Linked DNA regions of Oryctolagus cuniculus. The protein of the gene in region 1 purifies or fractionates together with the protein of each later gene. This does not show direct contact. Links are inferred from orthologs where the notes say so. Each region holds a gene or a part of one and is shown on either strand. Other genes may lie near its edges.

Region 1 (4,129 bases):
TGCCTGGAGTGGCAGAGCCAAGGTAGCTAGAGTCTAAACAAAGGTTGAGATCCTGAGGTCGGACGGGCCTAGACAGTGCCACTACTACCCTGTCGTCTAAAGGAGACGGAGGCATGAGGAGGCTGAAAACTGGCAATTCAAGAAGAACTCAAGATAGTCTGTAAAGAAGGGGGAGGGGAAAGAAAGAATAAAAACACGTGATACAAAAGGCAGTCTCATCCAATCCCTAGGAAAGGCCTTTGCATCCCTCGGAGCAGAGTAGTCCCAAGTGCCCTTTATCTTGCCGCTATCAAAGCTTGGATGTATTCATAGGAGGATGCAAATCTGAGGGCCCCCATCAGTTTTGCTGTGAAGTCTAGGGTTCGATTCAGACTTAATGTTGTAAATGTTAATGAGCAACCTGTCATGGACTGACATCAAAGTTCAGTCTCGGAGAAGGTACAAGCACCAAGAATTAGGAAAGCTGAAGACAGAAAGGAAGGTTCTTAAGAGGCATCTATTTTGAGCCTCACGCCCTGAGCAGAGGATTCTGCAACTGAGAAAGCCCTGATTGCCTACCTTCGAATGCTTCCCACTTCATCCCTTCACTCCCTGCAAAGCCAGAGGGATGACGAAGAGCATTGCCAAGGCTTACAGAAATATACAGCAGCTAAATACACATTAGGGCGGATGTCAACTTTCTGCACCTGAGAGGGAAAGGATTCCCCTAAGTGAACCTCTTTGGCCAGGAGCGAGTCTTGCTTTCCATTCTGTTGGGTCCTTTGAAACGCACAACATAGTCATATTAAAACCTCACAGGCTTTCTGGTAGCCTCATTAATTAATCTGCATCCCCCCCCCCCTTTGCACTAAACACTGGTGTCCTAAAACAAAATCTGAAGCGAAGGAGTTATCTATGGAAACCCCTCCCCCCCATCCTTCCTGCACTCCTGCCCTCTTCATCTCCCCTGCTATGCATCCTGGAGCTTTTCTCAGTGGGTAGCAGCTGCTTTGTATAGGATTTTAATCCCATACAGATATCTGCCCCTTGGAGAGTAAGGATGGGATAAAGACTTCCCTTTTAGCGTGTCCCTGTTGAAGGGAGGCAGGGAAGTGGAGACCAGGAGTCTACCCCTGATGTCTTCAGAGACCACCTGAACAGGAATGGTCCCTTCCTACCTGTGGGCTCAGGGACACCCTACAACTCGACCCCACTGACTCCTCTATCAGACATGCACACAGCAAAGAAACCAAACCCCGAGCAAGAGCCGCTCACCCAAACGAACTTCAAGAGCTGTCCGGGAAAAATGTCATCTATCATCCGTCTACACACGATCGTCACCATTCTCTGACACAGAGCCAAAGTGTTCACAGGCGGAATCCGCACACACACGCGCGCACATAGGGGCATGCACCCACCACCAGGTCCGCAGGTCCCCACTGACTCGGGTGTCGCTCTCTCACACACACTGCTCCCTTGCGTATGCGTAGTATTTTTTTTTTTTTTTTTTTGGAGGAGCGAGTACTATTCCATATTCTAAAAGCTGTAACTGTGTCCCAGCGGGACCAAGCAGCCGAAGTCTTTGCTATTGTGTTACCTGGTGGGGCACGTCCAGGATCCACAGTCTGCTTCCTCCGAGAGGGGCGCGCCAGCGCTTCCGCAGGCTCGCGCGCCGGGACCCCCGCCTCCACACGGGGTGCGCGGCCCGCACACACGCACCGGGCGTGCGGACAGATCTGCAGCCCTGCAGCAGACGGTCGGGCGTCTGTGCTGCGCGTGAAACCATCCAGTCTGGCCCAGGAAACCTCCCGGAGAAACCTCGAACTGAGCCCCCCTGCCCTGGCCAGCCGCCCTTCCGCCGCTAGGCAGGGGCTGGAAAGAAAAACTAAGTGATTAGCCCGTGCTCCTTGCCCGCTCCGAGGGCACGGAACGTGGCCCCCTCCTCGCCGCCGCACGGCGCGTGGAGAAGCCCCGGGCATTTAGTAGAACTGCCGCAAAGCATCCCAACAAACCTCGCTTTTGCTTCGCCCCCCGACTCGAGTAGGCTGCAGGGCGAGTAATCGCACCGGGCAGCGGGGCCAGGAGCCCCAAGCTCGGAAGCGTACCTGCTGGGGCTCCTCGGTCAGCATCGCGCCTCCCTCTCCCCTCTCTCACGCACACACACACACTCACACACACACGCACAGACACGCACCTCCACTCCCGGGCTCTCCAGAGTGGCCCCGGCGACTTCCACTTACTTCATCAATAAGTGTAGCCTTCCACCCCCCGGCGCTCGGTTTCAGCTAAGGACTCGCACCTTCAGCCCCCATTCACTTGGCTTCATTGATCTCCAGCAGCAACATAGTTACTTTCTCTTTTGCTACACTGTAAATGTAAGATTCTGAGGGGGCGGGCTGGCCTGCGACCGACGGCGCATTGGGCCAGTAGGAATCCGGAGAAAACCGACCGCTACCTCATAGAGGCCCGCGGCCAATGGGCGGCCGAGGGGGGCGGAGCTGTGGGCGTGGCCTCGCCTCGTCAGGGCGGGTTTATCCGACGCGGCTCCAGGTCCTCTGTGTTAGAACACGGGCGGTGATGTCATTGGCAACCAATCAAAAACTTAAAAGAGCCAGCCGGGGCCCGCGCGGAGCAGCTGCTCTCTATTTACATGTAAGCCGGCGCGGCCCGCCGCCTTAACCCTTTCCGGGGCTGAATTGTCAATGGGCGGCTCGGGCTAAACCAGGCTCTTCCCTCCTCGACCGGATCCTCCGTCCACACGCCCCTCGCCCTGAGACCCGCCGCGCGGCCTCCTCATCTCTCCTCCCTCCTTTGGACTGACGGCCCAAAGTGCCGGAGTAACTTTCTGAAGGCCGGGGACCACGGACAACCTCCGGCTCCACCTGGGAGAGCTGTGACCTGACAGACCCTCCCCGGGATTCGCCCACTTTTGCCAAGACTCCCCCCCTGGGATGCCTCGGAGCCCGCCCGCGAGCGGCGCCCCCTCCCCGCCCGCCCTGGGCCACGCACCGAGGGCCCCGACTCCGGAGCCGCCGCGGGCCGGCGGCCACTCGGCCCCTCCTCCTCCGGGCGGCCCGCAGATGTCGCTGCCCCACCGGCGGCCCCACTGGTACCCCGCGCAGCGGCAGCGCGCCTCCTTCTTGTTCTCCGGTATCCGCGACCCGGTCACGCCCCCGCCGTCGCCTGCCTGGGCCCCCGGGCTCGACCCTGAGCTCACAGGTGGCGCGGCGGAGGGCTGCTCGGAGGAGGCAGAGGCCTGGGGCCACGTCCGCTACGACCGCGGTCGGGCGCTGAGCCGCTGCACCGCTGCGGTTCCCCTGGGCCCGGCGCCCCGCGCCCCGCAGCGCACCGCCCAGGGCCCCAGAACCTCGCCCCAGTGGGCGCCCACCCCGTCTCCCCCGCGGCGCGTCGGGTCTCCGCAGCCCGCCTGCCGTGCTGGCCTCGGCCGCCGCCCCTCCACCCAGCACGGTCCCCGGCGAGCGGAGGACCGCCAGCCCGGCGCTTCTGGAACAGCGGCCGCGGGCGGCAAAGAGCCGGAGCCCAGCGTCCACAGCCTGGCTGCACGGAGCCGGAGGAGCGCCGAGGAGCCCGCGCCGCCGCTCGCCGTGCCCCCGACTTGGGCCGGCAGAAGGGTCCCCTGCCGGTGCGCAGGGGACACGAGTCGGGGCCGGGGCAAGCTGCTGGTCGCCGCCTCAGGAAAATGCCAGGAGAATTTCAGGAAAGTTGCCCTGGAAAACAAAACGGATTGGAAAAACCCAGATGAACTGTGGAGATATTACAACAAAGAATCCTGAAGAAAGAGAGCTTTTTCTCCCTCCCCTGCACCCCTGTCTCAGGGAGGAGGGGGCACAAAGCGAAATAATGACGATGCAGTAAAACAGGATGAACACTATGGAAATAGATGGCTGTGATTTTTTTTTTCTCCCCCTCTCTGTCTCTTCATTAACTGATTGGAGGTATTTAGAGAAAGGCTTCAGTCTCCAGGCCTAACAAATAGACTAAGTGGTAGGGCATATTTATATAATTGCTTGCAATGTGGGTCTGAAACCAGGAGGGGTCAAGCCATGACTAGCTGGCCAACTGTGCCCACTGAGCTGTTGGAAGAAATCCCCCTGGACACCTCTGCATAAGTGCAGGCCCATACACAGTC
Region 2 (4,146 bases), on another chromosome or scaffold:
AGAAACCTCAGTGACATATGCCTAATTGCATAAGCACAGACAGCAAACTTAGGTTACTTACCGTGCACCGGGTGACTGCTAAAAACCAGGCCCAAGTGCCTCTGGAAATCCACTGTCTCTTCCCAGCCTGGGGGGATGTGTCTATGCACATTTGCTCCTTGTTGGGACCTCATCTCTGATAGCCCGGCTTTTACTAGTTTCTCATCTTTTTCAGTAACGGCAATTTTAGGTTCCCTGTTTTCTCCTGAGCAGCTAGCTGAGGCAGGTGGCAGGAGCCCACCAGATGGGTCCATTTCAATGCAGACCACGTTCAGGAGCCGGGATTAGTGATACTCAATTTTAGAAAACTCCCCCTGGCGGCCATGGGAGGACACCACGGCTAGATCCCGTTCTCTGCCCCACCCCTCCTCTGAGGCCGTGGTGCCTGCACGAGCCCGGCCCTTCAGAACCTGGGTCACAGGCTCGCTTCTCTCCCCAGATTCTGCAACACTCCACCCCAGACCTGCAGGGTCCTGCTACTCCCCCTGCTCTGTGGACCTCGGCGTCCCGGGACTGCTGCCCCAGCTCCTTACTCACCACTTATCAATCACGGTCCCCAACTCTATCGGTGCCCGAAATCCGACGCCCCTAGCCCACGACTGGCCTCGGAGCTTTTCCCTCGGGGAGCCCCGCCTCCGCCCCTCATCCCAGCTGTACTTGTCCGGTCCCTAGGGGGCCCTTCTGCTCCCCCTGAGCCCTGTCAGCCAGCACACTCCCTCCTGCTCCTGTCGGCCGGGAAGACTGGTGCACGACGGTCATCTCCTCGCACCCTGCGCCTGAACCCTGACCTTTGGCCGCACCCCTAAACCCGTCCAGTGGGGCGTGCGTGCGGCACGTCCGCAGCGAGCTGAGTCCCAGGCGCCGCGCCTCCCTCCTCCTGTCTCCTTCCAGGTCGCCTCGCTGCTGGGCGCCTGCACCTGCAGCCCCGGGGCTCGGACCCACGAGTAGCCCCGGTCCTGAGGCGCCGCGCCTCGCCTGCGGCCCATCCTCTCTCGCCTCCTCCCGGCTCGGCGTTCGGCCGCAGCTCTGCGGACCCTCTTTGCCCGGAGAGAGGGGTCATCGGGCGACCTCAGCCACGCCCGTCTCTCCAGCCCACTACACGCCGCTACACGCCGGCACTGCCCCACGCCGCCTCCGGACCCTGCACCAGACCTCGGACGCAGACCCGGCCTGGCCTGGCCCCGCCCGAGTCGCCCGACAGCGGCCCGCCCCCTAGCGCGATTGGCCGCACCCGCCGGGCTCTCCGCGCACTGATTGGTGGAGTCACGGATCGGTCAGGCCGGGCGCCGCGGCGGCGGCGGCGGCGGCGGCTGAGGGGAAGGGAGCCGACCGGAAGGGTCGAAGCGCCCCGCGCCCCTCACACCCACTGCGGCGGCGGCGGCGGGGCGGAGCGGGGCGGGGCGGGGCGGCCAGCCTAGCCGGGAGCGGCCAGCGCGCAGCGCCGCCAGTGCGCCCGCCCGCCCTCTACCCCGGCGCGGCTGCAGGGAGGCGAGGTGAGCCCGAAGGGCTGGCTAGGCCCGGCGTGGGTGCTGGGGTCGGGCGCGGCGGGGAGCGGGGTGGGCGCGGGGCCTCTGGGGCCGGGCCTCCGGGGCTGGCGGGAGCCGCGGGGTTGCTGGCGGGCCGCAGCCCCTGCCCGCCCGTGCCGCAGTCGCCCCCTCCCGCCCGCTGCCAGCGGCGAGGACCGCGGAACCTGGCCCCGCAGACCTGCCCGCGGGGGTCTGTGGCCCCCTCCTCCAGGCGGGCCGCGCAGCTGCCCTCTCGCCCCGGATGCTCGGTGGTCCCCGCGACCTTGGATTAGGCGCTGGCTGCCCCTTCGGGAAAGTGGGGCCATGTCTGATCTTCAAGACTGGGCTGTCTGTGGGAGCACCTGGACGCAAGTCTGTGCACACTGGTGGACTATAGGGCCGGATACTGCCCCTTGCTGGCGTGAGTGTGGTGGGGGCCCCCTCCCCACCCATCCTGTGCCTTGTCATTGCGCGCCCAGTGCTCAGCTACGCGGAGCAGGCCCTGCCCACCACAGCTCTTCCCCAGAGCACTGCTCCCTGGGCCCGCTAATCCTCCCACCTGCCAGGAACTTGCTAACCTCCGTGTCCCCGGGACTTTGCACCTGCTGCCTCTCCTGTTTACGTCGCGTCCAGGACCTTTTTGTTCCTTGCTCTGTCCAGATGTCTCATTTTCAGCGAGGCCTTCCTCGGCTACCCTCTGCAAGGGATCATTCTGTCTTGTTATTTTGTTTCATTTTCTTCCTAGCACTCTGAGTTGAAACTGTTCTATTTATTTGCCTCTCCTTTTCTGTCTTCCCCCACTAGGCTGTAGCTTTCTGTAAACAGGTAGTTGTCTGATTTGTCTGCTTTCTCCTGGTACTTATAGAAAGCATACAGTAAGTATTTGATAGTCTCAGTTCAGCGAATGAATGAATGATGTAAGGAGCGTGCCTACCTGTTGTCTCTGCTTTACCTGTTCATTTAGTGACTTCTGAGTGACTTGTGAAACTCGGAAGCTTGTTCTCATTTTGTAGAACATCTTAACGTCCTTGACCTCTTTATTTGGTAACTATGGTAACGAGCTATGATATAAAATGTTACATCTTTATAATGGTTTAGCTCTAACGACCTCCTAGTAAATCCAGGAGACAGCCACTGAATTCTCCATTATCTAGGTCATGCTTTTTGCTGGGCCCTAGGGACACAAAGGAGAGAGCGACAGGGTCCCTTCCCCCAGAGAGCCTGGGAGCCCCGTGGAAAAGGCATGACGCACAGGGTTGGTTCCAGGACAGTGGATGATGCCTGCGGAAGGGTGGAGCAACAGGTGGTGCTGGTGGGCCTCCACGCTTGCCAGGCCAGGAGAGGTGCAAAGAGTGTGAAAGGGCAGGGCCAAGGAAGGAACCTAACGCTGTGTGGCGTTGGCCAGGTGTGGGAGCGTGTAGTGGTGGGGACCCTGGAGGAGGAGCCCCTCGCCCAGCAATTTTCTAAAAGAAGCTTCAATCCACAGTTGCACCTGCACTCTCCTGATTTCTCAATATTGGCAGTAGCTGTTTGTTGTTGTTGTTGTTGTTGTGAGCCTAGCCAAATACAGACCTCATTCAGCCTGGTTGCGGGATTGTGGTCCTCCAGGACGGACTGTGGGTGGGAGCCCGGCCTGCTCAGGTGCTTACTGAATTGTCCCTGGGGCCCTGGAAGGAGCAGCGAAGACACCTGTTTTCACAGAGGAAGAAAAGCCCAGAGTCCCTGCTCTGCAGCACAATCCCTCACAAGACGATGCTTCCCTGGGGCCCCCAGCCCTGCCTGTGCTCCTCTGGCTTCTAATTCGTTCTGAAACAACAACACTCAATCTGTGTAATGCTTTCCTCCATTTAACCTTTTATTCTCTTCAGAAGTAACCAGTGGGGTTAAAAAAAATCCTATTTTGGCATAGACTTCTGTGGAAAGCTTTCATTTGCCTGAGGATTTAACTTTCAGGATCCTGGGACTTTAAAATAATTTAGTGAAAGGGCATAACTTTGAAATAAGTGTTAAAGAGTAGAATTGAATGTTTCTATTTAAAATAAAATCAGGTTTCTGGCTAAAATATCAGGCAAAGTGATTGTTAGTAACCAGTTATTCCCTGATGTCTCAGGTAACCTAGAAGTCAGGGATTTTTCTTAAGAAGTGCTGATTTGGCTGCAAGGCAACTATTTTTGGTCTAAATATGTACCTGGACTTCACACTTGGCAAGAAAGTTTCCATTTTTATATTTTTATCGTTAATTCTTTTTTTTAAAGATTTATTTTTATTTATTTGAAAGAGTTACAGAGAGAGGTAGAGACAGAGAGAGAGGACTTGGGCCATCTGCCACTGCTTTCCCAGGCCACAGCAGAGAGCTGGATGGGAATTGGAACAGCCGGGTCTCGAACCGACACCCATATGGGATGCTGGCACTGCAGGCCAGGGTGTTAACCTGCTGCACCACAGCGCTGGCTCCCACCTAATAATTAATTCTTAATCATTTGTACTTGATTGTATGAACAAGGTTTCAGCATTAGTCTTTTAACTGTTTATGATAGTGACTCTGAAAAGACACAAAAAGAACGGTATCCAGCTTCAACAGTTAGAAACCCTGGCTGATTTT

Evidence for each region. The genes of interacting proteins can lie anywhere in the genome.
Region 2: the proteins of DUSP10 (region 1) and MAPK9 purify together in Homo sapiens (affinity purification with mass spectrometry; 3 studies listed by BioGRID and IntAct, with this or other methods). This does not show direct contact. The link is inferred for Oryctolagus cuniculus from reciprocal best matches to the Homo sapiens genes DUSP10 and MAPK9.

The regions. Positions count from the first base shown.
Region 1 is NC_091444.1:36,078,644-36,082,772, forward strand, and holds the start of DUSP10 (dual specificity protein phosphatase 10), read right to left. Parts: upstream 2,804-4,129; 5' UTR 2,279-2,803; exon of another isoform or gene 2,174-2,278; intron 2,098-2,173; exon of another isoform or gene 1,577-2,097; intron 159-1,576; 5' UTR 116-158; coding exon 1-115. Other genes in the region: uncharacterized protein, read left to right, coding at 2,931-3,773. UniProt on the Homo sapiens protein: Protein phosphatase involved in the inactivation of MAP kinases. Has a specificity for the MAPK11/MAPK12/MAPK13/MAPK14 subfamily. It preferably dephosphorylates p38.
Region 2 is NC_091437.1:67,213,530-67,217,675, forward strand, and holds the start of MAPK9 (mitogen-activated protein kinase 9), read left to right. Parts: upstream 1-1,338; 5' UTR 1,339-1,532; intron 1,533-4,146. UniProt on the Homo sapiens protein: Serine/threonine-protein kinase involved in various processes such as cell proliferation, differentiation, migration, transformation and programmed cell death.